Arabidopsis thaliana: one gene and its partner. The protein of the gene in region 2 interacts with the protein of the main gene of each other region in a biochemical or structural test. Each region holds a gene or a part of one and is shown on either strand. Other genes may lie near its edges.

Region 1 (17,251 bases), on a different chromosome or scaffold from region 2:
TGCTTTATGGATGTCTATAGCTTGTCTGAACTTGGAGTTAGGACTTTTGAATCGAATACTTCTTGCCTCATAATAGGGTCGTTTTGGAATGCACAATCTCAAATGTTCTGTTTTGGACCTTCTCCTTCTGTTGGGAAGGATCCTTCTTCCTTGTATGTATGGGAGCTTCCACACAATCTACTCTTACCTGTCGGAAAGTGTCTATGCGGAGATTGTCTATTTAGAGAAGTGATGATTAAGGAGTCTCTTCCCGAGTGGATTGATTGGCAGAAAAAGAGTGTTCTTGTTCTCGGTTTTGGCGTTTTGAACAAGTACCTTCCACTTGGGTCGTCAGATCAATCTTCGGGGTTTACTTTGATCAGGTTAACATCCTCAGGGAAGCTTGAAGCAGTCAAGTTCCGTGCTTCTCGTTTAAAACATTTAGAAGTAGTAGCTCACAAAGGTTCGGCTTGCAAATCCGATGAGGTGAATTTACTGTACCTCCCTGATGACGAGGAATACAAATTCCCGAGACGTTTTAACTATCTCGAACTCGAGTATCTCTCTGCTCACAGAAAAGGGATGCTCGCTGGGTTTTTAGATTCAAAGATGAGGACAGAATCATCAGATTTCAAGAAGAGTGAATCTTTTAGCTTAATCTGCCATGAAGAGTTATGTAAGAAGTTGAAGATTTGCGGATTTGGTAAAGGCAGATCTGCCTCTAGCATAACCGCAGTCTTTGAGAATATCAATTCACCCACAAGTGTTTTCGACATTGCATTGAGAGAAACCTGGTCAAGCTTACCTAAAGAGATTTTGATGCTTGCATTCTCTAACTACTCTGAGTTTGCAGATGTTCTGGTAGACAAGAAGAAACAGTCTCTCGAGTTCTTAGTTGTTCCAGAATTCCCACAGTTACCGCCTTTCTTGTTAAGGAATCCTTCAAGCCGGAGTAGCAAATGGTCAAAGAAGGAGCAACCCGGTGTTGAGGTCGTTGGTCCTGTTGTTCCACTTCCAGTTCTCATCACACTCCATGAGTTCCATAACGGATGTCTCAATTCAGAACAAGAGTTCTCGCCTGAAGCAGAGTTCTATAACCGATGCAATCAAATCTCCAAAGCCACCCGCCAGATCGCAAACTCAGGTCGACACGAGACAACCATTTCACTTGACGAAGACCGAGCCGATGAAATGTGGCTCAACAGTGATTCACAGGAGGAGAAAAAGACGTTCATTGCTTATCGTCCGATAACAAAAACAGCTGAATCAGACAGACTACAGCAAGAAGTCACAACGTTTGTCTCCAGAATACGTGGTTGTAAAGAAGGTGATGATAATGCTGTAGGAAGAAGAGGGCTTGAACTGTTCGATGAGTTGTCTCCGGTCGAGATGTTCTTCGAAAATCGGGAAGTGAATTTCGATAAATTCGATATGAAAGCTATGCTTACGGACAAGACGTTTCACTCTCAATGGCAAGATCGATCATCTTCATATCAAGAGTTTCTTTCTCAGTACCATCTTAAAAAATGAGAGAGATATCTCCCACGGCTTCACCACCAATTTTGTAATTTCCACTTTTTTTTGGTAATACTCATATTTGAGGATTATGGTTTCTTGGTATTATTGTCATGTAACCAAACTTGGGATGTAAATATATATATATTTATGAATTTTCGTTTTGAAAATTCAAATTACGTAATTACCATTTGAAAGACTAACAAAATTTCGCATTAGTTGCATAATCTCATGCGTTACAAAATGAAACAAAGAGTTGGTTAAAAGAGTCTGGTATTAAACTGGTCCTACTTTGGGAAGGAAAACAAAAACTGTTATTACTTCTTTTTTTTCTCTTTCGTAAGTCGTAAGATGGATCCTAACCCAAACGGAGATGGACCACCGATCACCGGAGCAATCCAAAAACTTCCTCCTCTTCCGCCACCATTCTTTCCGGCGTGTTTTTGTGGCCTGAACTGATACGAGCTGCAGCAGAAAGAGGAAGGAGGACGCATATGAGATGATGGATTCACCCCTGGACGTGGGACTCCATGTCTCTGCGAGCTATGCTTGTTAATGTCCCTAAGCATTTCCCTCTTCGAAATCGCCACTGATCCTGTGGAATTGCTTCTCGTTAAACGAGGAAACGAACAGATCAGACTCTTCTTTATATCGCAGTTCAGGCTTGAGCTTCTCTTGAAGCTCCAAAACGACTTTGATGATTTCTCTGCCTCTGAATCCGAATTTGCACCGCTCCCTCGTCCATTTAGGCTTCCTCGAGTTTCTTTCACGCTGTATTTTCTTGAGTGTTCAGGCAATGGTAAAGGCAGAGGAGGAAGATAAGAGGATAAGGTTGGAGCAGAGACAATAGGAGGGAGCTCATATTTGTAGAGACGTTTTGGCATGGTGGATGTAGCTGTGACTTGGAAAGGAAGAACTGGGAGGATCATGCCGTCCGCAAATATCTCGTCAGCTGGTGAGGAATCTCCAGGATCAAAGTTGCTTGAGATGTGGAACTCGAAATCTGAGTTTGATGAATCCAAAAGAGTGGTGTCTCTTCGGACCGGGCCTGATGGTTGTTGTTCCATAGGAGTTCCTTTATCGGACTGGCCGAGATCACCAGCAAACGAAAACCGCTGGTGGTTTGACTCCGTGCAGATCATGATGGTCCGTTTTGCTGGAGTTTTCAAAACAAATTAGTGAAACCAATGAGAAACAGAGAAATGATGAGTAAATGAAAACTAACCTTAGTTTGATAGAAAGATGAAACTCTGCTCAGAGACTTTTTTTTTGCAGGACTGTCCCAAAGAAAGGAAAGGTTTAGGTGAACATGATGTTTGGAAACATTTGAGAACAAACGCATAAGTCTATGGATTAGAGGTTGAAAACTTCAATTAAAATAATGGATGTGGTGTGCCACTACTGCAAGAAACAATGGCTGAGAGAAAAAGAGCATAATGTCTAATTAGATCTCAAGGGTTTGAATAAATTACATTACCTCTACTTTAGGTGTCCAACGGACTGTTTATTCTTTTGTTCTTCCTTCTCTATTTTCGACAGAGTTTATATTGCTCGTGGATCGTGTACCCTCTTACTCGCCACACAGGCTGGTGACTGCTAACATTAGCCACATTGACGTGTTTTAATGAGATATCTTATCAGCCTGATCATGGCTTCCACCTGCGACATGGTTTGGATACTCTATAGAAGTGATGGTTAGCTGCAGAAAAGATCTAAACCCTGAAGCATGAAAGTGCAAGAAACCTTTCTGAAGATTTTTAGATCAATTAGCAGTATATGATCATCCTTGCATTATCTTGCAAAACTTAAAACTACAATGTTCTTTCTTTTCCATACAACAATCAATAATGGAACACCAAATCAATATTTAAGAACCTGATTGCAGCAAGTAACAAGTCTCCCAGCTCAGGTGTTCAATAATTGGAACACTGTTTGTAAGTTTGTAACTTGACTTACCAAAGAGAAAGGAAGCTGTCTATAAAACCTTGGGCATAGTGAGATGTTGTAAAAGGAAAGCTTGGTCTGACCCTGCAAAGTTGTCAAAATTGTCTAAAAAAAAGCACAAACACTATTTCTCAGTAAGTTCTTGACACAAACATGCACAAGAACCAAAAAGCTTATACAAAACACAGGATCAGAATTTTCTCATAATCTTAGCAAGATACTAATTTAAGTAACTCCTGAGCTGCTAATAGTAGGCAACAAGACAAACTAAATAAGGAACAACAATGTAAGAAAGTTGCAGAGAGCTGAATTATTGATAACAAAAAAAAAAGAGCCTGGAGATTCCATTACCATGGAGAGATTACAATTAGCTTTTGGTAACGGAAAAAAAACACACACCAAGATGTCTCTCTTTTACAACAAAAGAAGAATATAAAAGAAACCAAGTAAAATTGGCTTCTTCATTCACTAAAACTGAGCACATTGCTACATATATATTTTTCTTCCTTTTTTACAACGAAAATGACAAAGTAGAAGAAAAACAAAGTTGATACATTTTTCTTGGATAGAAAAAGAGAAGCTGACCCCAAATTTCATGTTTCCACAGCCTCAGGAACATCGTAAGAGTCTGCTGTTACTTCTTCTGCTAACCACAATCCTGGAAATAGAGTCTGCAATAAAGGAAAATTCAGAGTCAAAACAGAGATCAATTGTGTGTGAGCGAGAGAGATAGAGAGAAGAAGAAGAAGTTACATTCATTTGCTTCTGAACCAATCTGGGTCTCTTCTTCGGTCGTCTCGGAGGTCTTTTACCAATTAAGGCAGAGAAATCTTGTTCGATTTCTTCTCTCAACAAAGAAACAGAGAATTTCACTTTCTCATTCTTATTCTGCTGCGAATCTCCTCCATCTTCGCTACCACCTCTCTTAACGCCAATTTCATGTCTCCGTAGAGAAGAAGAAGACTCGATGATCCTGGTGGAATCATCACCAGGTGGTTCGTTACAAGCAGCTCTTCTCGTTCTCAAATTCCACGGCCGAGCAGCTGCAACAACATCGCCGTTGTTGTTGTCACCTCCATTGCCCAAAACGGAGAGCTTAGGTCTGTTGGCATCGTAGACGAGATCGAGCCTGAGCTCACCTGAAAGTCCTCCGTTGTGAGATCTATGATCGGGAGAAGGAGAAGAAGAAGAAGAAGGAAAAGAAGGAGATCGGTTGTGGTGAGGAAGCTTGACGCAGCGGAGGAATCTTTGCTGACCCCATCGGAGATAAGGTAAGGTGAAGTTATGGAGGCGTTTGGATCTTTCCGGTGGAGGAGGAAGCTCCATTGATTGATTTGATTGGTTTCTCTCCGCCGTGGGAAGATGGAAGATTCCTTTCTTTTTTTTTTTTGGTGAGCTTTCTTCTCTCTTTCCTTTGGAGCAACTTCAAAGTTTTTTTCTTTTTTGGATTTTTGGTTTTGGTTTGTGTATTTATTCTCACGAAATTTTATTTTATGTCTGTTCGAATTATTCGGAGAGAGAGAGTTAGGGACGCGATTGTAACGTTGTACTCGTTTTTTTTTTCCGACCCGTCGTCTAAAATCAGCTTCACAACTTTGTTACTATAAAATACGTCTTTTTCAAAATTTAGAGGAATGAGTGTTTTAGAAAACTAATTTTTATTATTTTCTGTTGAACTTTGATCGTTTAGACAATATTTTCTTATTTACTTTTCTATAAACTATCAATTAATTTAAAGTTCAATAGTTTTGAAGGAATTATGATGAATTATCAAGTATTTTTTTGGCTCTCTTGCTGCTTCTTCTTTCCATTACATAACAATGATGGGTTACGTTACGTATAAAAGAAACAGTGTTAGAAAACTTGCTTGTGAGGATTTCACCGCCCGCTCAGATACGGTTTGTCAGCTTTTCGATTTTAGTTTGATTTCTGATAGTACGGTTAAATAAACAAACTAAAACATGTCGTTTTCTTTTAACCAACCCTGATTATTTTCCCTCGCGAAAATTTAAAAACTCTGAAGTGTAGATTTTTTTTTTCTTGACATCAACAATAAGAAATAGTATAGTCAGATACGAAGAGTGGAAAAAAGTTTTCTATTAAAAATTGTTAACTATTTACACTCTTCAAAGAAAAAGTCTCAGCTTAATGCAAAAACAAATAGCGGATTATGTGGAAGAAAGAGGATGACGGTATGGGATGTTCCAGAAACAAACGAAATTTTTTGGCTTTGTTCAAGCCAAAATGTATAGTAAGGTAACCTAAATAAAGACTCTTCAAAATCTTAATATCTCAGAGACTATACAAAAAAAAAATCTATCAACGGGCTTCTTCACATTGTTGTGCGAAACAGAGGGTAAAACCCGAAAAAAGGAAAGAAAAAAAGAGAGTAACAAGTGAGTGAAACCTCTTGGTGTTTTCAGGATGAGGTTGAGCAGTCCGGGGGGATTGTTTCGGACTTGATCACCCGGGTATTGTAAGAACCACAGCTACCACATTTATGGTACAACCAATGGAACCGTGTAGTTCCTTTGCGTTCACAATCATTACATAGAATGTCCTGAAACATTTGTGTATGTGTGTCATGAAATGACTAGACTAAAAGAAATAGTCAAGACGCAGCAGTTTTAGTGTTTCTCACCTGACAGCGATTTTTGTATTCCTCTGGAAGTTCTTCTGCAGCTAACAGTGCATCAAGCATACCAAAATAAACCTGTGGAGTTCGCAAAAGAAACGAAGAAGAAACAGTTCAGTAAACAATATTTGCATGATGTGATATGCATGTTACACTCTTGAGGGGCGGGGATCATCTTACAGCCATATCTCCTAATGATTTTCCACAGATTGGACATGTGTAGTGACTGCAAGTGTAAGCCTGAAAGACCAGAGTAACAGCAAGTGTTTTGATTTTAGGCGTTAAAAGTTAATTTAAGTTTAATGAGAGAAAGAGAGATTTGCAAACCTGGAAGCAAGCTGAGTGCATGTAGTGACCACATGGTAAGGCTCTAACTGCTTCACTCGATGTGAAAAGAAATTCGCAGCAGATGGGGCAATTTGTCTCGAGGCTCTTCTCGAGGCACTTGTGGTTTACTAATTTCATCCCTAGGCAACAGTTACATGTCATGCAATGGAAAAAATCGATTCCTAGTCCTTCCCCGACCCGGCAAAGGTTGCAGAATGGACAGTGGTAAACGGCCCTGAATGCAGATAATTGTTTCTCACGGTTAGAATAGCTTCTGAAGTTTGATTTTTGACAGTGGTAAATTGATTCGTTTATGCATCAAACTGTTGGGTTTTGTTTACCTTTCATCATCAAAAAGTTTGCAAATACTGCAATAGTGCTTTGCCATTGGGAATCCGTCGCATGAAGGTGTTGTGCAGATGGGACCAACAGGTTGCACCTTGAGGCACCGCATACAGAGCATTTCCGTCACCAATTTTCTGTAATATGTTTCAAATATAAAATTACATATCACAGAGAGAGAAAAAAAATACGAACAAAGAAGTTTCAATTTAATTAGGGGAAACTGGCTTTAGAATATAAGATCTTACCTATCCATGGAGTGGTCGCTTACTTTGTCATGGCAAAACCTACAAGTGAACAACTGATCACAACAAGCAGCTCGAAGCTTGCAGTTACGCTTGTAATGCTCGCATCCATATATCTGCTTCTCGGGATCCCGAAAAGACGGGGAACATCCAAGTTCAACATCACCATTTACTGCAGTTTCTGCTTCCTTAGGTAACTTTTGCTGAGCCGCAATCCATCGACTGATAAATGCACCAACAGAAGAATTTTAAAATAAATGTTACTCTAGAACAAATAGGATTCGGGTATGAGGGACATGTGAATGAGATTATAGGTTCTCTATATCAGAAGATTGCTCAATCAAGGACACATATACATGCACAGTGGAAAATAAACTGAGCACGTTATTTTGGATTGGGAAACTGTAAAGGACAGGAGCACCACTTATACTCTTCCGCATTGCAAAAGAAGTTCAAGTAATACAGGGAAATGTATTATCTCTTTGGGGGGTTCTAGATTTATGTCTGGCATGCTGTATGCATGACAATGTGGAATAAAGGATCCATGCGTGGAAATAGTGAAAAAAATCTGACCTGGTCCTCCAATTCTGTACGAGATAATCTTTTCTCCTCGGATCAAGTGTTGAGTCCTGATAGACCTTCCTGATTTCAGCCTCTAGTTCATTCTGGTTCATGCGGAAAATATCTTTCCACCCTGGCTTAAATAGTTCACCACTTTGGTCCAAGATTTCTTGATGATCATTATCTATATGGAAAATAAACTTGACATAAGCAAAACAAACTTAGCACAGAGAAACTATAGTTGCCAGCTTAAGTATGAGTTATGAAGTCCAAAGAAGAAACATCTAAGGTTACATTAAACAAGTTAGATATTAAGTTGGTGAGAAATAGCTAAGCAATGCTTTTACCTTTCTGTGGACTAGGTTTGGATGTTTCTGTTGAGGATGAGTCGGGTGATCCTTTCCAGCATTCATTAAGCCATTCATCGAACATTGTGTTCTTGGTTGCCTGCTTCCAGGTATCCATCATTCTGTTTTGCTCATCTTCAGAAAGGGCAGACGTCACCCATGGTAACATAGATTGAAGAACTTCAGCACCCGTTGTTCCGATTATACGACCCACAATCTTGTCTTGCTCTTGAATGGAGAAGTGTTTGTCAAATAGAGGCCAAAGCTCCAGTTCCTCCAAGAAAATGTGCTGATCCAAAGTGATTTTAATGGATTTGCACATCCCCTGTAGCTTTGTAGCCAGTTCATTGTATTTCTTGTTGCAGTCACCGTTATCGATATCCGTCCGAACAGTGTCAGTTTGAGCTATGTCCTCCATCATAGAATCACTCTGTAACTTCTCATGAAGAATTGAAAGTTCGGTAAGGACACTATAAATATCTCCAAACAACTTCTCCTCCTGTTTATGGTCGAGCGTGTAAGAGTGACTGACATTGTGAAGTGTCTCCTTCGATTCTAGAGCTGGAAATAGGATGTCATCTTCTGCATTACTATGAGCCTTGTAGAAACCCCAGAGTAGGTGAAATCGACCGATAAATTGACGAATAAATGTTCCATCGCAATCAATGAGCTTTCCAGATTCAACATCAAGAAACTCTAGATCTTTGCTTATGGCCTTGTGAAACTTGAATATTGTAGCAACTGGCCGCTCAGCATGTCCAGTACCAAAGCTGTTACTATCCATTTCCCAAATAAAGAGGCTGGAATTAAGAGCGGGTGCAGCAGAGTTTAGCGAAGAAGATCTCATAGCTTTAGCTGCTGGAAGAGAACCAAGTTCCAGACAATTATTGTTAACTCCGAGATCCGGAACACAGCATGACCTACCATTTCCAGATGGCTTGCACCCATTTGCAACTTCTGTCGAGTGAGGGGTGGTTTTTTTTTCACAAGACAATACAGCAGTTCGCTTAGCTGGCCTTTTATCTTGATGCTGGCAACACGATTTTGTACTCCTACTCGTGCATGGAACAGACGCACAAGCATTACATGACTGAAGGTTGACTTCTTTAATGTTGCTTAGTGTTTTCACAGGGCATAAACCATTCCCGTTTGGAGACAAGCATTCCCCGGCTTTGCGTCCTTTGCAAGCCCAACCAGAGAAAAGAGTAACGAGAGCAACATCCGATTTAGGTGCTGAGGCCACAAGAAAAAGCATGTAATTATGCAAAATTGTGAGTAGCTAATAATTTGAAAGAAGGTTAAGTTTAAGGCAGTACAGTAGATAGTACCTCCAGCTTGCAAGTTCTTCAGAAAATTCTTAGCTTCATCTTCTGTTAAAGATGCCGTCAACCATGGCAAAACTCGTTCAATTAGTCTCAATGGCATTATACACAGGCTTTGGTAGAGAAGTTCTTGTTGTCTTTTGAAGCTGAAGTTCTTTCGTGCAAGGGGTAGCACCTGCAACCACTACAAGTTAGTTGACATCCTGAAATTGGTATCTTGAATCTTCATAGCATATAGTATCAAATGATCTTATGCCAAACTTTCATAGTTTCACCTGTTTACAATATCATACAGCACTTAAAAGCAATAGTTCACCTGAATTTCCTCGTTATGGAAGTGTCTTTGAATAGTTTCCATTATTTGATCAGCATGTGAGCACAGCTTAGTGTAAAATTCGGCAGCGGAAGTAGAAGAGGCTCCAGCACTCTTGATATTTTCAATTAAGCATCGAAACTCGTTAAACTGATTTTCTTCTTCATCGTGCTCTTCAGAAAATGAAAACTCTCCATCTACAGCTGGAAATATGATCTTGTCCTCTGCAAGACTGCACGAGAAAAGAACAGATCATCTCAAAAATAGTCCAATGACAATTCAATCTCTGTCAGAAGAAAAAAAAAGTTGTATGTAGATATGAACATTTGATAAAACTCTTTTTCGAATGATAACACTCTAATGCAGAAACGTGCTTAAGCATGAGAAGAGTAAAGGATAAACAACATCCATATCACTTGAAAGTAAAACACATCACAGCTGGCAAACGTGTTTTAGTGGCCATCAACATCAACTTTATAAAACAAATCTAGTTATTTACCTCAATAAATCAACATTGAATAGTCCCACAAAAGATAGCCAATAAACAATAGCAAAATTGAGATTATTCTGTTTTCATTGTAAATGAAAGGATACAACAAATACCTATGGAAGATGCACACTTCAGCAATATATTGTAAGCGTTCATCAAATGCCGATAAATCCGAAAAATCTCCAGACAGCTGAATCTTCCTAGCCTCATCGGCTATTTCTTTCATCTCCTTGTTGATTGACTTGTGCCAGAGCTTTATCTCATCAACTGGGTGCAGAGTATCAGATGAGCCAAAGTTAGTAAGCTCTGGGTACTTTCTCTTCCCAATCTTGGAACCCTCACATGCGCACTGTTCTCTACTTGCTTTACAAGGAAGCATGCTGCTAGAAGAATCTAGACAGCACTGGAACATAGAATCTTCAATGCGACACGAAGCCACGGTATTGCTTTTCCCTCCCAGCCAGGTGAAAATAACCTTCAAAAGGAAAATATCAATCAACAAGCCAAAGTCTTTCAACTTAGAAAGTTGGATCTTAATTCAAAACTTACCTGCTGAAGGAGCTTCTCGCCTGGAACTATCTTCTTTAAGCACGTTTGCATCTCCTTGCTTTCATCTACTGAAATGGAAGAAGAAATCCATGGCAAGAACACAGCAAGCATATTCACAGGAATACTGCAGAGAAACCGCCAGACTATGTAAGCTTGCTCCTCATACTTGAATTTCTCAATAAGTAAGGGGAACACCTATCAACAAGCCAAGAACAACCCGTAATTAATAAAGGCCAATGCGTAATGCTAAATATTCGATCTGTGTTAATAGAAAACAACAGAGATAATACATCTGTGATGTGAAGGAAAAGAAAAAAATACCTGTTTCTGTTCTTTCGCCAAGTGCTGGCTAACAGAAGTCTGAAGTGCTCCGGTAGAACGAGCCAACTCCCTTCGGTAACTTTCATCAGTTTCCGTGGCAGAATTCAGCAGCTCAAAGAGATGATCGAAAAGATTGCTTTCCCCCTTGTGTTCAAGAGAATATGTTTGCGCTACATTCTTCACACGTATGTCAAGAGCTGAAAATATCACCTACATCCACAGATTTGCAACTGTCAACAATTCTTCCTCATAACATAGCAATACAAATATGTTGCAATAGATTCCCTATCTACAACGCACTCATAGAATCAATAGGATGATCAGCAAGAGACTAATTGAGACTTACAATTCGTTTAAGATAAAATCAAGTCAGATTTACACAAATTTGCAGCTATATGTATTGAGTTCAAAATCCAAGTAGAGATGGTTCCAAATTCTAATTCAGCAGTTTTCAGAACATGATGAGATCAAATTTAAAAGAAGAGGACCAGGTTTTCGCATTACCTCGTCTTCGGCATTGCAGTGATGCTTATAGATGGATCTCAAGAACCGGTACCGTTCACGAAGCAGCCGGAGATCGACATGGTGACCAGTAGCAAACTCAAGAGCCAATCTATGAAGAGCTTCAAGCTCACTACATACTGCCTTATGAAAGAACAAGAAAATCAGGATCGGAGAAATCTCTTCCGCGTCATCCGAGAACGAATTCGCCACAGGCAACGGACGAGATGAAGAAGAAGAAGAAGACACAGAACTCGGAAGAACCGTGGTTGAAGAAGACGCCACTGCTCCGCCGCCTCTCGCCGTCTCAAAATCTGGTAACGGCGTCGCCATTTCCCCCAAAGCTTATCTCCGTTTTCGTCCGTCAAAAAAGAAATCTCAAACCACTTCTCTCTTTCCTTATGATTCGTCTACGACCTTCAATTTTCAAATCTGAGCTCGGTTCACCATGGGAATTATCTGGTGTTCTTCTGGTGTTTGTGTGGTGTTGTTCAACGGAGACGATGAGAAGGAAAAAAAGAAAGAAAGGTCGAGGCGTTGTCTGATATATCGATTTTGATTTTGCTTTTGCTTTCTTTTCTTTTTTATTTTTTGCCTTTTATCGTTTTATTAATGTTTATCTGGAAAATATTTAAAAAAAACTGTTAGTAGTATTATACGATCCTTGTAAATTTTTTTATAGAAAATGAATAAAAGTGCTTGGGGATTGGGTGGGTGTTTCTATACATAGGTTTTGTAGCACGTGGCCATTCACATCGCCACGTCGGATGCTGATGCAACCAACCCAGGTTGGCACGTGACCGATTACATCTCGACACGTGCAAGCGTCTTACCTACGAACGCATTTGGTCCGCGAGACATGGACGCTGGTTCTCGGAGTTAGAAGGAGGGACTCTACTGACTAGGGGCAAAAACGTTATGTAATTGCTTACGTGGAATTCATTAAGCTTTTGTTAAAATGAATTTGCTATTTTATATGTTTGAGGTTTAGCTTTTGAGGGAGCACTTTCAAAAGAAAAGATGAATTTGGCTTTGAGATTTTATGAAATAAGATAATGTAAGACAGATTCGAACTTGGTTTAAATATTTAGTAATGACTAATGACAGAGAGGAGATGTAGCAGCACCCGTTCGTAATCTAAAGGAGCCAAATAGCTAATTAGCTTCTTAATTAAACCATTGATTAAATTATTGCTTCACAGTTTTGCTTTGATTAATAAATGCAAATACAAAGGTTTAAACTTGTTTAATTGAGTTTGCATGTGCTCCAAGGTTTACTAGATTGAGTCAATTAATTTTGTGTCATTACTAGAAACAATTCTATTTCAAATTAGTAAAAGATAATAGAAATCGTGTTCAATATATATTCTTATGTAGAGATAACAAACAATTCTTTAGTAGATAATCAACAGCTAATGATGATCATGTTTCACAGTCGTGTTTATATTATGTATAGTCTAGTTAGTGGTACACCAGAAAATTACATTTAAACCTAAATAAACTTTGAAAAATGTTAATTACGTAAATATTTGGGAACTCTTTTCGATTAAAAGTATCTTAAAATTTCAATTTTGTATATTTATAAATCTATTCGTTCATATTTTATTTTTAAATAGATGATATTTACATATTTTACCAAAAAAACAAAAGGAATAGATTGATGAAGTAGAAAATGGTGGGAAAAAAACAGAGGACAAAGGAAGTGGTGAAAAGTAAAAAAAAGATACAAGAGGGGACGTGTGGGAAGTGTGGCGACAATTGGGTAGCAACAAGTTCCACTCGCGCTCTCTTCTCCACAACACATTCCTTTTTTTTCTTATAACCAAAATAAATAACATTTATTAGGGGACCAATATTTAACAAGTATTCATTATTCTTTTTCCCCCGATTTCACAACAACCTATTTATTTTATAATCAGAAACAACTTAATAATTCGCCGTTCTTGACTATAATTCTATAAAGAACAAAAACAACACGGACTAGTCAACTTATGTAAGCATTTCAACATTGTTCCACGTAATTTTCTACGGTAACCTTTACCTAATTTATATAGTAATTAACAAGAGATTAGATCATATATACTATATGAATATATATATATATATATAGCTTTATTGCAATCTTATAGGATCATAGATGGTAGGATTATTATTCTCCCTTCTTCAATTAATGCAACGATATAGGCATCTATGACCACCTAATTATGATCGTAAACCTAAATGATTAAAACAATTATACAATTTAAGACTAAATTCGATTGGTTGATTATTTTAAAAAATGAATATAGCTGTTTTTTTTGTTCCGAATTATTTGGAAATTTCGAGTATCGTGCAAGTGTACAATAGGCAATGGGTTGGCTTTTTGTGAATTGTGATCCATCAATATAGTGATCAATCTCTTTTCATGTATCCTTTTTCCCTCTTTTGTTTTGTTTTATTTTTTTCGTCTAAGGATAATGTTTATTTGCCTCGTCTCTTCCTTTTAAATGCATCCTTACACTTATCTTGTTTCAACATTCTATATTTAAGTTTTCGTTCTTACTCTATTTTTCTGGTTCCATCTGTTTTTTCCATTAGAATTGCCATTTCTGTTCATGTAGTAGATCTAGAAAAACATATCTTTCACTATATGTTTCTACCAATATAACTTGATTGAACCGGTTTTGCAATATTGGAAAAATTAAATTTCATGAAGTTTTTTAGGTCTAGATGTTTGGTTGACTCTAAATTTTTGCTAATTCAATATGAGACTTGTTCAACTCCAATTTAAATTAGCACTTCGTAAGAGGATACGTCAGTTTTCATTCCAAAAATCTGTTAAAATTTGACCCAAAAAAAAAATCGACCTTTTTCTGTATAAGAACTTTTACTTACAAGTCTACTTTACCATATATAATTAACAAAAAAAAAGGAGAGAAAAGAAGATAAAGACAATGAGCATATGCATCTCAACATATTTTTAAAGTTTACTGCATGTCTGCATATCAAAAGTGAACATATATCGTGTTTTCAAAGAAACTCATGAGAAAATGTTTTTATAAAATATTGTATCGTTAATTTTTAGCCTGATTTTTAAAATTAATTTTCTTTATATATGTATATATTGATGTGATTGGTACATCTTTAACATCAATCCCGACCAACACCTTCATCATTCATGTGTGTCTTGTTCTTAGTCAGATACATACAAAGCCGTGTCCTCTGGAATATCTCTTTGTTGGTTTCTTCTCTTTAAAATAAGCACACAATATTTGACGTAAAAAAAAAAAAAAACTGGGGAAATTGTTTTCAATACTCAGATTGCACTAAATAAAGATAAGACATTTCATCTCATATGGAAATCAATGCATAACGCATTACCAGTAATGCACTACCAACATATCAAAAATTCACTACAGATGAAATTATCAATATTTACTATTGAGTTTTCCATATATAAACTGTATATAGAGGACAGATTATTGGTAGCTTAACTGGTATTATTTTATGTTATATACTTGATGTGTATATAGTATATACATAAATATATCTTCATATTCTTAGTAATCTCTTAGCATCGGTTGATTGTTATATGTACAATATCTTCTCACTAAAAAAAAAGTAATTATGATTAATATTATAATTATTTTGAAGGGTAATATTATTGGAATATGATTTTTGAGACACATAAGACACAGCTTTTAATTTTATTGTATCTGTAATATTGTTATACAAAATTATATATACTGTAATATTTGACAAAGCTTTTGAATATACTAAACCATCTTTAATTATAAATTTATTAAATCTTTGTTTGAATTATTAATATATCTATATATATTTTATTTGACCCAGCTTTTGAATATAAAAGCTCTTTGGATATTTTAAAAAACCCTTCTATAAATTCTACTTCTTTTTAAGCACACGATATTTTCAGAATTTGGGCCCTCTATATTCGATCCAAAAAACAGTAAGTGAAACAAGACGCACAATTTATAGTATACTTTATCATCAACATAAGAGTTGTTTTTTTTGGTTAAAACATCAATATATATAAGAGTTATGTCTACATTCCGCCACTATATTATATATTTAGTTTGTATCAAATTAATTATGAGCTTACAACATTAATTGACGTGAATCATCCTACTATTTTTTCACATTGTTAACGAGAAATTACTGCACAACAAATATATTTTACACGACTAGTAGTGATTTTACTTTTTGCCATTTATATTATACAAGTGTGTTGTTATTTGTTAGTAAAAGTATTGGCAAATGGTGAAGTTGATCATGTTACTTAATTCATCATAAGATTGTTCTTCTTGTATAAAAAACAAACACACACACAAAATGTTGAAAAAGAAACACAGATTCGATGTTTAATGTTTTCAGTGCATTAGAATATTTATGTGAAACTACGTTAACTTATAGTTTACATCAGAAACGTTCCATGCCGTATTTCCAAATTGGAATCTCCATGTTTGTTACTATTTTGGCACTTTATAATTAAACTAATTATGTCAACTGTTTATTTAGTATGTCCGTACTTATAAAATATCAGATGCGTAAACAAATTGCTCTCCTTAGTAGAAAATAAAGATTTTCCTAATCAAACCGCATTTCAACTTCAACTTTATTTTTAGCCTTGTGAAAACGACAAAACCTTAATAGGTCCATGAAAGCGAGAGCGACCATTAATTATCATTTACGTTAACTCATGAATAATTGTTATTGCTTTTGCTTTTTTTAGTTAAACATAGTTTATATTATTTTTCATTTAAACCATTCTGTTTATGAGAAAAATTACATGATCTTTGGTCTAAGTTTAACTCTTAAGAATATATATATACATCATGAAATATATTTCTTGGGGTTAAAAATAGAAAGAGCAGTAGTTGGGAGAAATATTCGTAGGTTGGGGAAAAATAGATGAGATAATATTCGGAGGTTATGGATATGTAGAGCCAGCGTGGTGTTTTTAGTTAGGTCAAACTATAAATATAATATTAAATTTGATATAGTATATAGACTTTAACAGTAGAAAACAAAATTGATGTTTATGTTTACTGCCAAATGTCAAACGTACAATATTAAATAGCTACATATGGGAAGATAAGAGTTAGGATCGTGACTCCTTTATGTGATGAGGTATTTTCTCCAGATGAGGTAATTGGTTTAGGACCTTAAGCTAGAATAAATTTTGAAGTTTCAAAACTAATATTTTTGTTTATTCTACTTTGTAAAGTATTTGGCTATTTTGTTTCCCATCAAACAGAAAGAAGACTATGAGCAGTGGCCAGTGGACATACATTGTTAACTAAAAATATTTGACCTCATAACAAATGAAAAATTTATTCAGAAATTATTTAACAAAGAAAATCATATAATATTTTAGCATGCATTAATAAAAATAAAAATAAAAATTATTATTATCTTTTTCAGAAATATAGATAATATATATTAAACATTATTGTTTAGGTCCATTTCTTTTCCCTCTCATGTTCCGTTACTCTCTCACATCAGAATCCGAATTTAAAAAATCACGATCACCGACATGAAAAACCCTCGAATCTGATTTTTGATTTCACTTCTCAAGTATCAAAACTAATTATATCATGAATAATTTGAGCTTATGGTCATACAATTTCAACTCTAGTTGTACCCTTATCCATTCTTATTCTCATTGAGTAAATTGTGAATTTATTAAGGTTAAGGAGTATACCAAATCTTGATTGCAGTTTCTTTGCACATTTAACATTAAAGACGACTAAACTAAATTAGATCAAAGAGGAATAGATAGATTCAAAATACTCTGTATTTATCCATTTCTAATAATTAAAAATTCGTATACTTTATAGAATCGTTTTACCAAACCCAAA
Region 2 (13,726 bases):
AACCACTTAGCCACACTTAAACTTACAAATTTATCTCTCTAGCTAGGAACACGATCTAAAGACCAAACTTTCCTCATTCCACTGGAAAGATGACTCCACCAATTTTCAATGCCATCCGCAAAAATGACGAGGCCACTTTCAATCAGTTGATACAAGAGAAACCGTCTGTGATAGAGGAAAGAGACAAGGAGAACAATGGAGAATCGGTGTTGCACCTAGTCACAAAGATAGGGCACCAGGAATTCGCCAAGACGATAATTGGGATCTGCCCTTCCCTAGTATGTTCCACTGACGATAATGGCAACACTCCTATCCATTTGGCTGCTACTTGGGGACGCAAATGTTAGAGTTTGGAGAGAAGTCAACGCCATTAGATGATATCTCAGAAGTAGAAAATGACCTCAAACTTGCAGAACTGGTGAACAATGATGGCTTGACGCCTTTGCACTGTGCGGCAGTCAGTAACTCGATCAAAATCCTCAAGGTCTTTAGCCACAAGACTCCTTCATCTTTCGATATACTCACACAACCACATAACGAAACAGTCTTCCATCTAGCTGTGAGACACAAAAATCTCAAAGCATTCAAGTTCATGGCACAGAAAGTCCACCTAGAAAAACTTCTCTACAAGCCGGATAAATATGGAAACACAGTACTTCACACTGCCGCCTCTTTAGGCTCTACTTCCGTGAGTTTTTCCTCGATCTCATTCATTTTCCATTTTGTGTTTGTATCGATCTTTTCGAAATCTCGATGTTGAGTCGTTTTTTCCAAAGTTCAAAATTAGGGTTTTAGAGATAACGTGTTTTAGATACTATTATAATCACACATTGAAAATTGAGATATATATTTCTATAACTGTATAAAAGATTTATGGATTAATCAACTCATTGATAATTGGTTTTGAGCCTACTCTCCGATTCCTAAAAGAGATTGCTCCTTCCAAACTCAATTGAATTTAGATTTCAGCTTATTTTTTCGTTTCAAAGTATTACATAAGTAAGAGTTAGCATATACACTATTTAAATACATAAAAATAATGGAGTTTGTTTGAACATAACAATTAATACAGCTAGCGGAGTACATCATCAATGAAACAAAAATACATACCAAAGCCAAGAACATACAGGGTCTTGCAGCGGTTGATCTTCTCGATAAAGATGATGCAAATTTCCCATCTATCGCATTAAAGTTTGGTGGCGAGAGTCACAAAGAGGAAAGTGTGATGCATTCAGAGGCTTTGCAAAATGCGAGGAATACAATCACGGTTGTCGCCATCTTGATTGCATCGGTTACTTTCGCAGTGGGGATGAACCCTCCTGGTGGCATCTATCAAGAGAGTACTTCCTCGAAAGGGAAATCAGTTGCGGCAAAAACAGTAGCTTTCAAGATCTTCTATGTAAGCAATAGCATCGCGTTGTTTACATCATTATGGATCGTCATTCTTCTGGTCAGCATTATTCCTTTCAAGCCAAAATCACTCAAGAATGTCTTGGTTATAACACATAAAATGATGTCAGTCTCTGTGGCTGCCCTGGCAACTTCCTATGTCGCAGTGGGATGGATCATTTTACCTCATTTTGAAGGAACCAAATGGTTACTCTATACCACTCTTGGTATTTCTATCGTCATGCGAGGAGGTATGTATGTTTTTCTATGGTTTAAGCTGGCCAAACACATCTTAAGGAAGATAGATACGGAAAGAGACCCTGATGAGGAGGCCGCAACGGGAAAAGGCTATGTCATGTATTGGAAATCATAAATCCGAGCACCTATATCTTAAGTTTATTTTGTTAGATATCTATTATTGACTAATGTATACAATTAGGTTAGTGATGCAGGGCAACTTGTGTTGCTTTCTTAGTTTGTTTTCCTATTTCATGTTTGATTTCTATAAGGTTGTAATGTGTGATTTGAAGGCTTGCGTGACTTATATAGCCTTCATGTGTGGTGTTAATGCACGAATTAAACAAGTACGGGTGAGTCTCTGGGGAAGGTGAAGAATCAATCTCTAATCCACGAGCTGAACTTGAAGCTGGGCAATTGACGGGCTGAAAGGCTTATTGCGAACTGAGAACGTAGTTGAGGGCGCTACGAGGCGATGCCGTTTCGAGCTGGTGGTTCTGGTGAGCTGGCTCTTCTTGCTAAGTTGGCTTGTCTTGACGAGATGTCTTCTCTCGACGAGCTGACTTGTACCGATGAGCTGGCTCTTCTGGGCGAGCTGGCTGATCTTGACGAGCAGACTTCTCCCGACGAGCTGACTTGTGTCGATGAGCTGGCTCTTCTGGGCGAGTTGGCTGATCTTGACGAGCAGACTTCTCCCGACGAGCTGACTTGTGTCGATGAGCTGGCTCTTCTGGGCGAACTGGCTGATCTTGACGAGCAGACTTCTCCCGACGAGCTGACTTGTGCTATCCTTTCTCCAGGTCTCGAAAAAGTCCCCTTTCCCGAGACTTTCTATTCCTTATTTATACCCGTCCGTATAGTAGGGTACGCAAGGTGAATTCTCGAGAGTGCCCCTTTTCTACGCAGCCGAACTCACATCCTGACCAGGCCGGGCTTCGGCCTGGTGGGCCGGCTCGAGTTCTAAAGTGATGGTCGGGGCTGGGTCGTTATTCCTTGAAATGGGCCGGTTGATCACTGAGGCCCAATTGATGTATCAACATGTGGTTTTTATAAAAAGAGTCGTGAGAAGAGTTTTCTCTAAAAATCCCTTGTGTTTGGTAATCAAACTTCATTCAACCAACGAATTCCAAAAAAACAACTAAATTGTTCGGGTATATAAAATGATTGGTAATGATATATCCCATAGAGGCCGTAGACATAGGCCCAAAAAGTTTCCATAACTAGCAGAAATTGAAACTTGCAAGTTGCAAATATTATTACACTGGAAAGGCAACAAGTCTTGAAGTACAAACTACAAAGACTTCTTGTTTGGATGGGGACGACTGACGAGTTTGAATAACTTAAGAGAAAAGGGTCGCAATCGAAATTAGACAAGAAATTAGTCCTCAAAAAGTAAATTCTGAAGTTGAAGCTCCAATGTCTTTGTTCAAAGACTTTATTTAGATGTAAAGTTATGTCTTGTAACCACCAAACAGCTCCTTTTCATCTACACTCCCAATTTTTTTAACATCTATGTTTTGCATTGCCTTTGACTTGTCTTTCTCTCTCCAACTTCTCTCCTTCAACATAAAGCCAAATCCTAAATCCAAATCCCTTAAACCGAACCGAATTAAACCGAAGCTGTTGAACTATCGCAAAATTTCAGATCTTACTAATCATAAACATGTGACGTTTAATTCATTTTAAGAGTTTCATGATTTGCACTGAATGGTATTCCGAGTCCACCGGAAAAAAACTTTTCCTACAAGTAGAAAAAGGATAACCCCATAAATCCAAATAACCTAACCGATCAAACATATACCAATATAAACCAAAACAAGATTCAGATTCATCGGTTTAGTAATCGAAGTAATGTACTAATGTGTAATATTGATTCCACCACCAGCTTAGAGATTCGAACCAAAAACCGAATAGCGCATAACCGAGAAAACCCAAAGCTTCCTAACAAATACATAAAACCGTGGTGTTTCTAATTCTAACCAACACACGTTTCCTTTTTATTCACAAGAAACATCAGAGTTATGATCTGCCATTAATAACCTAAACACAAAGCAAGGTTAGGTAAATGATATGGACCCCTAATGAATAATCATACAATACATAACAACGTAAGATCCAGTTTCCCTCTTCGAACATCCATCTCCTTTCAGACAAAAACCATACAAAGACATAATAAACAAAGAAACAGAGGAGAAACAGAGAGATGCAGTTACATATATCTCCGAGCTTGAGACATGTGACTGTGGTCACAGGGAAAGGATTGAGAGAGTTCATAAAAGTTAAGGTTGGTTCTAGAAGATTCTCTTATCAAATGGTGTTTTACTCTCTACTCTTCTTCACTTTTCTTCTCCGATTCGTCTTTGTTCTCTCCACCGTTGATACTATCGACGGCGATCCCTCTCCTTGCTCCTCTCTTGGTACGTTTCTTTCTTCTTCTAACTTCCCTCATTTTCTTTTTCTTTTTTAAATCCGGAAATTATGTAAAATAGTGAACTCTTGATTTCGATTTCTTCGACAAAACATTCGATTCTCACTAAAAAAAAAACATATGAGAAAAAATAGCAATATAATTTATACTAAAAGCATTTTACTTTTTATGTGTATATACATGCACAATTATGAGAAATAAATATATTATCTTCTAGTTCATGTAAAACAATAATCTAAACGAAGAAGTTGAATAATTACTAGAGATTTACGCTCAAAAGTGAATAAATCCAAGAGCTGGTCGGTTTGTTTCACGTTGATTTTGTAGTATTATGTTCAAGCTTAATTAAATATTTAAAGACATTTCATGTTAAAGAGATAAACTTACTTATTAATCATAATAACACATAGTTTTAACATTTGACAAAAAAAATTAACCATTTTAATTTACAGCTTGCTTGGGGAAAAGACTAAAGCCAAAGCTTTTAGGAAGAAGGGTTGATTCTGGTGTAAGTCCTCTCTAACTTCAGTTTCAGATTATTGAGCGCATTTATTTTTACTATGGTGAAACAGAGTGGTGAAAAGTTAAGTTTTTGGTTATTTCTAGAATGTTCCAGAAGCTATGTACCAAGTTTTAGAACAGCCTTTAAGCGAACAAGAACTCAAAGGAAGATCAGATATACCTCAAACACTTCAAGATTTCATGTCTGAAGTCAAAAGAAGCAAATCAGACGCAAGAGAATTTGCTCAAAAGCTAAAAGAAATGGTGACATTGATGGAACAGAGAACAAGAACGGCTAAGATTCAAGAGTATTTATATCGACATGTCGCATCAAGCAGCATACCGAAACAACTTCACTGTTTAGCTCTTAAACTAGCCAACGAACACTCGATAAACGCAGCGGCGCGTCTCCAGCTTCCAGAAGCTGAGCTTGTCCCTATGTTGGTAGACAACAACTACTTTCACTTTGTCTTGGCTTCAGACAATATTCTTGCAGCTTCGGTTGTGGCTAAGTCGTTGGTTCAAAATGCTTTAAGACCTCATAAGATCGTTCTTCACATCATAACGGATAGGAAAACTTATTTCCCAATGCAAGCTTGGTTCTCATTGCATCCTCTGTCTCCAGCAATAATTGAGGTCAAGGCTTTGCATCATTTCGATTGGTTATCGAAAGGTAAAGTACCCGTTTTGGAAGCTATGGAGAAAGATCAGAGAGTGAGGTCTCAATTCAGAGGTGGATCATCGGTTATTGTGGCTAATAACAAAGAGAACCCGGTTGTTGTTGCTGCTAAGTTACAAGCTCTCAGCCCTAAATACAACTCCTTGATGAATCACATCCGTATTCATCTACCAGAGGTAAGTTTGATCTGTGACTAGTGAAGAATACTCAACAGCATTAGACCCGAAACCTATAACAGTCTTTGCTTTTTTCTGCAGTTGTTTCCAAGCTTAAACAAGGTTGTGTTTCTAGACGATGACATTGTGATCCAAACTGATCTTTCACCTCTTTGGGACATTGACATGAATGGAAAAGTAAATGGAGCAGTGGAAACATGTAGAGGAGAAGACAAGTTTGTGATGTCAAAGAAGTTCAAGAGTTACCTCAACTTCTCGAATCCGACAATTGCCAAAAACTTCAATCCAGAGGAATGTGCATGGGCTTATGGAATGAATGTTTTCGACCTAGCGGCTTGGAGGAGGACTAACATAAGCTCCACTTACTATCATTGGCTTGACGAGGTAAAAGGAAACCACTAACTACCCAACAATCACTATCAAGCAATAATCATCTTAACTCAAAACTATTTACATGTATGTGTTGCAGAACTTAAAATCAGACCTGAGTTTGTGGCAGCTGGGAACTTTGCCTCCTGGGCTGATTGCTTTCCACGGTCATGTCCAAACCATAGATCCGTTCTGGCATATGCTTGGTCTCGGATACCAAGAGACCACGAGCTATGCCGATGCTGAAAGTGCCGCTGTTGTTCATTTCAATGGAAGAGCTAAGCCTTGGCTGGATATAGCATTTCCTCATCTACGTCCTCTCTGGGCTAAGTATCTTGATTCTTCTGACAGATTTATCAAGAGCTGTCACATTAGAGCATCATGATAACACAAACCAAGACCATTTTCTACATTGGCACCCAGAGAGGAGATTCACAGATCAAGATATAGGAGCAAACTTTTCTGCAGTGGAGTTTTCACTTCTCTACCGGATCATGTTTTGCGGTCTCTCCTGTTTCTAATTTTTTGTACTTTCAAACTCTTATGGCGAGGAAGTAACCACATTCTATGTATTAATGTAAGAACACATAAAGTGAGAGACGATCTGCCAAACTCTACTTAAATTTACATGTGAATAGATAACATTGCGCGAAGCAATTGGAGTTTACAATGTCATATCATTGTTCAACAGATAACAGTTACGATGATAACACGACAAAGCAAAAGGATAAGACTAAGAAAGCCGAGAAAGAGAGGAGAGCAAAACAAATGGAGACTTTTCTTTTAAGCGGAAGCAAGAAGCAAACCGGTTGATGATTTTTCTTGATTAAGCAACAGGAGGACGAAGGACATGATCCTGAGAAGTATCGACTGAAGCAGGAGGCATGAACTGCCACATGGCAACTCCTGGGTAACTGATGATTGGCACCATCTTGTTTCCAGGAGCTTGGCCTTGCGCTGAAGCAAAAGCAGTAGGCATCATAGGTGGGGCTGGGAAAAAACTTGGTTGAGGAGCATTCATGGCTTTCAGCTGCTGCTCCAGCTTTTCTTTCTCTGTCTTCAGCCTCTGTTTCTCATCTCGCAGCTCGTTTTTCTCAGTCTGATTGACATAAACCGGAAACTAGTAAGCATTCGATGATTTTATGGGGATAAAGGAGGATTCAAATTTCACCTTTAACTCTTTGATTTTGTCCTGAAGACTTGAATTGGAGTCCTTCAGCTTCTGGGCCTCGCCCCGTAGCTGTGTCACCATGCGGACAGCATCAACCAAGATAGCAGCCTTGTCTGTTTTGGGAGGATTTCCAGGCTCCAAAATTGCACCCAATTCCATAAACCTGTTATTTATTTAAAAGGCGATCATTTTAGTACCTACTAAAGAGTAAAGGAAGGATATACAAAATTGTTAAAACTTACTTGTCATTCAACCTGTCCCGTCGCTGCTTCTCTCTACATGCTTTCGAGCTAGTGGCAGAGGATGATTCACATCTCCCCCTGAGACATGGAATGAACAAGATTATTTTTTCTGATACCTTGTCAAGCCCAAAATATGTCAAGCGAGCCAATACAGATCCCCACAACAAAAGAACCATAAACAATTCCATAGCGATTTCTCAAAGTTATAGATTCTGAAAGTTGCTATAGTTTCCTGGTTCAGTAAGTCTTTTGAATTAAAGGTGTGTCACAAAGAGTTTAACATAAAAAGCTTACCTCTTTTTGGATCCAGGTTCTTTGCTAGCTTCTGAGTTTCCAGCCGAGCCATCAACTCCAGCACTGAACCAACAAGAAATACATCGAACCAACTAAGTATTACATCTATACTCAATCATGTAGCAACTTACAACTACTCACTTCCAAGGAAGCAGATTAATTAGTTAACATTGACATGCTAAGGTCAAACCATCCACTCATATGTGAAAGCACTATCCATGAAAAAGGAATCTAATTCCCACCTAACAAGAAGTGATATATGATCAATCAATTCCCGAATCAAGTAACATGTCAGAAGTTACACTAAAAACATGTCAGGCACACACAGTTGACTTTAGATAAACAAACCTAAATCCTCTCCTGAGGCCAAACTTCCTAACTTAACATATCATTTCACCCACTCTAAAGATATCTACACAAGCTAAAAGAACCCAAATTTAAGCATAGAAACCAATTCAAATGAATAAGAACTCAGTTTCTTCTCTATAACTTACTCAAACAATCACACAAGCTTAAAATCACAAAGTTCGTTACTTTAACAAAATTAGCCCTTCCCTTGATTTAACGATACACCTTCGCATACCAGAAAAAACCCACATAAAATTATTCAAGCAATCACACTGATTTCACTCAAATCAATTTGAATTTCTTAAAAACCAGATCGGAACCCTAATTTGAAGCACTTAAGAGAGAAAGGGGAAGTAAGAAGAAAAACCTGGAGTTAGAAGAAACACCAATAGGTTGCTGAACAGGCCAAGAGAAACCAGGACCTTGGATTGTGAAACTTCCGTAATCAGCATCGATCAAGTCACAAATCCAATTAGCGTTTTCGGGTGACACCATCTCCGGAAACTTCCACCGGTGAAAAAGGGGGAAAAATAAAAACGGAGAGTTTTTTTTTTGTTGAACTCCCGGGAAATTGAATGTTCCCGGCGGCGATCAGAGAGATCGAAAGGAGGGGGAGATTTAAGCCAAATCGATTTCTGCCGTTGGTGGAAGGAACACCCAAAGAAGAAGAGAAGAAGAAAACTGTTGGAGGAGACGAATTGGGGAATCTTGGAATCCAGAGAAATTAGAGTGGTTTTCACGCGCACTCTTCCTTTTTTTTTGGGCTTTCCAAGGCCCATCATACCAAGGGTTTTTATTTTATTTGTTAGTTTATTTTTAATTCATTTTACGTGTTTTTATTTTATTTTATGTGTTACATCATCATATATATATTAAATCAAATATCAATACATTTTACAACAAACTTAACTAATCAGGGCATTAACCTAGTGAATTCTCTAATTCGAATTTTAAAGTATGTGGTTTGTGTGTGAGTTAAAGAGTAAAATAAAAATCAACATTTCATAAACGGTCAAAATTTTCATATGTTTTGGATTAAATTCCAAAACAAATAGTCAAATATAATCCATACGTTTTAAATTTTTTTTAATAATTTCAATTTTTAAGTAAATATGCACTAGAAAGACAAAATTTGTCCATTAACAATCTTTTTGTTTTTTTAAATCAAAATCGGTATAGTGGCAAGTATTCATGTTTTCTAACAAAAGAGAATGGATTTTTCTTTTTGTGTGTGTCGACTATCTTAGCAATAATAAGTAAGAAGCACGAATCTAAAGACCTATCAATCTAACACCACTAAAGCTGGTTTTGATTAATTTGTTTGTTTCAATATTCTTTGGTTTTAGTAGTATGTGTTTTCTATTTGTCCGTTTAGCTTTTAACAAATTAAATTGATAAAGAAAACTTGTGACCATGTTCGTTGGAACGAACCGATAATATTCGAGAACATGGTTGGAATGGTCGTTTGGTCGTGATCTAGGAGATTATACATTCTTCTGCTTCCTCCCGTACATACATGAAAATTTCCAATAATACTTTACGTATTAGCACATTTGATAAACAATAATATATCATACACATAGATACGAACTTTTTTTTTTTTTTAAGATACACACTAAAAGTATAAACTTCTCAACTAGCATTGAGACCATTTATTCGTTTCAACTTTTTAACATAATAAGATAAGATGCCCATCGACATCTCAGGTTCAAAATCCAAAATTTAACAATATATGGGTAATTTAATTAAGAACGGTAGTTCCAAGAAATAGAAAGAAAAAAAATAGAAGAATCTTTTATGTACGATATATAATCTTTAATATCTTCCCCAAATTATATAATAGCACCTCTTTCTTTTTAAAACCAGTACTCAAATTATACGCGTCAACTTATTTTCTTCCAAGAATATAACGAAACCCAAATTGATAAATAAATAGATTTATCAACTATTGATTAGGAATATCCACTCATACTGTGAGGTATATTCTCTTGTTTTGTACTAAATTATATTTTTATAGTTCTTGTTTTCTTGTTATCTTCTATATTTCTATTTTATAAAATATAAAGGAGATTATCAATTATTATTATTTTTTTCATAGGAGATTATCATTTTCTTCTTGTTATACTCTTCACTACTATTATTTGAAATTATGATCGGCTAAGCCAGTTGCTTTTAGTTTGATTAATGAATGCAGAAGCGGCATTATGGATCAACTTGACTATTTGGAGTACAATATTTTGAAACAAATGTTAATAAACAAGTAATTACACAAATATTTTAAAGTTTGACTTGTTCTTTTCCCAAGTTCCGTGAAGGCATGAATTTTGCCATGATTTCAGATGTTATTTAGTTTACCTTATCTCAATATTTAGAAGAAATTCAACAGGAGTTGACTAAATCATATAATATTTGTAGGCTATATTCGTTCGATGTTCTAGAAAATACAATGATTACGTGTGAAATCTGGTAAGAACAATAGTTATCTGGTTTAGTAGTGAAATATCAAATGACCAATATAATAGTGAGATGGTGGAACATATGAAATACTATAATTGAATTAACGTTTACATGTACCGATAATGAACTATGAAAAGTTATTTTTTCGAAGTGATATTTATGTGACGAACCAGATTTATCAAACATACGAGCGTAATGCATTAATCATATGGCAAAATCATTTTTGGAAGAAAAAAAATGACATATGATCCATGATTTCAAATATTTTTGGTAAGTTGTTGCAGAATTATATATATATATTACTCCAGTGTCCAACAAAACAAGATTATAGTTATAGGGAAAATAGAGTATGACCCTATCACAATTGTTTTTACAATTGACACACCACATTCAAGTCAAATTGAATCTAATGATTCTTATATCAACATCTTGATTTTATCTGGTGTACATGTAGCTCAATTTAACTATACGAAATCTGTAACAACCTAAATAGAAAACAAACATTTATCTAGAACCAGCTAATCAAGTGGGGTTTCAAGTTGATCAATGGAATACATTGTTCCTCGGAGTGGGCAAAAAATGCCGTCATGTCCCATTCTGTTATGTGTTATTTCCATTTCCAAATTTGCTTCATATATGATATATATGATTACACCTTGATTGAAAGAAAAAGGAAAGATAAATGGTATATCGACTTTTTGGCTTGCATGTGACAATTTGGTTCATACCTATTGTCTGGAAACCATTTGATCTTACCGTCGGTCTATATATCCTATCTCCTTTATTATTGTTGTTCAAAAATGCGTTTAGTATTGTTGATTTAAACTTTGAATTTGCTAAACTATTCATTTCTGTAACTACTTGATCTACTGAATGGAAACAAGATTTTGCACACAAAAAAAAGTATACCACTTTTTCATGGTTTGAAAAAATGATCCAGTATTCTTACTATTTATAGTATTAGTCAATTTTCACGTTTTTATGTTTTCGAAAAGTACTAAATATTACAAGCATATTAAAATATAACTAACATTAGTTTTTAGTGTTTTATTAATTATTATCTTTCATTCATATTTCTATACGATATTGAATCTGACCAAACATAAACAATCATTCATATATCAATTTCGTAACCAAAACACTACTACCATTATGCTTCTAGGCCTGGTGATTGGTCACAGAAACGAGAAGTAAATATTTTGAATCCCAGAAGATGAATATGAATCCGAACATCAACAAGCAAAATCCTACTTATGATCCAAAAGAAAAAGAATTACATAAACAACAGATAATAAAATGCTAAACCAAACTATACAAATTACAACAAAAGGTCTTCATGTTTTCTTGTTAGAATCATCCCATCCTTCTTCATCAAGTTGTGACCATATTAAGTACATTCATATAATTAACTTTGAAATGAAGCTTTTAGCTTCAAACTTCAAATCCATCTCTCTTTTCTTTCCCTCATCCAAGGCTCAACCGATTTTCCAATGGTTTGATGTTAGTCTGCCTACGTGGTGTTCCAATCTCGCAAGCATTCACTCTCGCTGCGAATCTAAGAGAGCAGAGAGACTCACCGGTTGAAGAAGATTCCGGTGCAATGTTCACAAACATTAGCGTCTTTGCGTCACCGCCTAAGCAAGGCTGAATTAAAAATCAAACATAGTTTTTATTATGATGCCACAAATCAAGAAACAAAAGTTTTGAAAGATGTTTTTACGGTTTGGTTTGGTACCTGGAGAAGATATGTGAGCTTTGAGTTTCGGAATGGTACATGATCTTCTTTCTTTGCTAAGGCGAATATGACATCGCCTAGCGACGACAAACTTTTGTTGATTGCCTGAAGAAAGAATGAAAGTTTAAGAGACTAAAAATTGCAAGAAACCATAATCATGTTTTATGTTTCTATCAAACGTACTTGAGTTTCTTTAAGTCTATCTCCGGTTGATCCACTCTTCGATAAACGCTCACTCCCCGCAAGATCAATCAGGTTCAAGACACCTTGTACTTGTTGCTCAGTGCTCTGTAAGAAAGAAAAAAGCCAGTTTGGTTTATCACACAAAACAAACATTCTGTAAGAAGAAAGACGGTTTGGTTAGTACCTCGTTAACACCAGAGATTCTTAGCGTGAAAACAAAATGGCTTCTGGAAGATTGCTCGTTCATCTGAGTCTTCCCTACAGACCTGAAGAAGAAAGAAAACAACTTTCAACTGTCAGAAAGATTCATCGAAAATCTTGATGGCCATTTAGTTCAGTCAAATTGAAACGGGTTTCAGCTATATTGCCTGTTACGAGCAGCATGATCTAAGAGGAATGAAACCTCCCGAGAGCTTTTAACATCCAAAATAGTAAGCTCAGCGACATGCGTGTTTCCACTAGCATCATGTTTAATAGCATGTTTCTGTGGAGAAACACCACTGTCTGTTCTTACTGCTTCTTTGTTTGTTGACAGGAGATCTCGGATCGTTTCATTGTATATTTCTAACATGGATACCTATACATATGATACAAAACTAGGAGGATTATACATATATTCTAATCACAAGGATATATCTTACTTAGTGCTACTTAAAAGAGAGAGGACTACAAAAATACCTGCAGTTCGTATTTCCAACCCTGAGATCGAAGAGACTGCCTCGTCTCAAATATTTGCTCCAAACATCGCGGGATCAGACCTTTTTCCTCGACGTTTCCTGGCCTACCCATCATGGTGTAAGTTTTTCCCGATCCAGTTTGTCCATATGCAAAAATGCACACCTATAAAATGGATTCTATCAGCTTAGTTATTCCAACAAACAGTGAAACGCACATAGTACTTTTTGCCATTTGCAGATTTAGTTACCTTGTAACCATCGAGAGCACTTTGAACAAGTTGAGAAATCTCAGTGAAGACATCTTCTTGTGATGCAGTCGGCGCAAAAACCTTATCAAATGTGAAAGCATGCTTTTGCGCTGTCCATAGCAAAAACACATCAACTGTTAATAAATGTGTCATTTCTGCAAGAACCACATTTCCACAGAAGTTTATGTTACATACCATTTTGCATCAAGTCAATACCACGGCCAAGTGCTTCTAGGGATGTCGGGTAAGAAATAGTTTTTCCCTCATCTCCATTGTTCTCACCCGGCAATAGAGGTCTAACTCTACAGAACACACGTATGTTACCTTTCAGTTCCTGCAACATGAGAAGATATCAGTCAAGCTTACACAAAGGGGAAGAAACAAATGTGGCAGAGGTGAGTTAAGCAGATTATACAAGAATGGTATTGTGCAACTTCTTCCGTAGTTTTTCTCCTTCAACGAGTTTAAGTTCTGCTTCTTCTACGCGACTTTTCAGATCGATAATGCTTTGCTTCTGGTCTTCATACTCATTCATTTTCTCAAAGGTAGATAGATCAGACACCTAGACCATAAACAATCAAGAATGGTATCA

The links.
Region 1: the proteins of ILR3 (region 2) and BTS form a complex in vitro, tested with the Arabidopsis thaliana proteins (one study listed by BioGRID).

The regions. Positions count from the first base shown.
Region 1 is NC_003074.8:6,268,781-6,286,031, reverse strand, and holds BTS (zinc finger protein-like protein), read right to left. Parts: upstream 12,067-17,251; 5' UTR 11,725-12,066; coding exon 11,395-11,724; intron 11,101-11,394; coding exon 10,891-11,100; intron 10,765-10,890; coding exon 10,570-10,764; intron 10,496-10,569; coding exon 10,134-10,495; intron 9,763-10,133; coding exon 9,534-9,762; intron 9,393-9,533; coding exon 9,224-9,392; intron 9,129-9,223; coding exon 7,896-9,128; intron 7,733-7,895; coding exon 7,561-7,732; intron 7,210-7,560; coding exon 6,991-7,209; intron 6,880-6,990; coding exon 6,742-6,879; intron 6,636-6,741; coding exon 6,401-6,635; intron 6,314-6,400; coding exon 6,254-6,313; intron 6,152-6,253; coding exon 6,080-6,151; intron 5,999-6,079; coding exon 5,858-5,998; 3' UTR 5,470-5,857; downstream 1-5,469. Other genes in the region: AT3G18310 (TATA box-binding protein associated factor RNA polymerase I subunit C), read left to right, coding at 1-1,509; AT3G18300 (uncharacterized protein), read right to left, coding at 1,812-2,636; AT3G18295 (DUF1639 family protein, putative (DUF1639)), read right to left, coding at 4,032-4,109, 4,192-4,764; AT3G18291 (uncharacterized protein), read left to right, coding at 5,259-5,387. UniProt on the Arabidopsis thaliana protein: Essential protein. Negatively regulates the response to iron deficiency and thus contributes to iron homeostasis. Exhibits E3 ubiquitin-protein ligase activity in vitro.
Region 2 is NC_003076.8:22,211,873-22,225,598, reverse strand, and holds ILR3 (basic helix-loop-helix (bHLH) DNA-binding superfamily protein), read right to left. Parts: upstream 8,666-13,726; 5' UTR 8,330-8,665; coding exon 8,202-8,329; intron 8,159-8,201; exon of another isoform or gene 7,550-8,158; coding exon 7,487-7,549; intron 7,271-7,486; coding exon 7,193-7,270; intron 7,114-7,192; coding exon 6,951-7,113; intron 6,879-6,950; coding exon 6,606-6,878; 3' UTR 6,325-6,605; downstream 1-6,324. Other genes in the region: AT5G54700 (Ankyrin repeat family protein), read left to right, coding at 90-278, 362-688, 1,130-1,640, 2,088-2,503; GAUT12 (galacturonosyltransferase 12), read left to right, coding at 3,830-4,043, 4,507-4,562, 4,661-5,410, 5,492-5,794, 5,880-6,164; ATK3 (kinesin 3), read right to left, coding at 11,756-11,935, 12,027-12,131, 12,210-12,314, 12,394-12,475, 12,578-12,786, 12,888-13,049, 13,135-13,244, 13,330-13,468 and 1 more. UniProt on the Arabidopsis thaliana protein: Transcription factor. Plays a role in resistance to amide-linked indole-3-acetic acid (IAA) conjugates such as IAA-Leu and IAA-Phe. May regulate gene expression in response to metal homeostasis changes.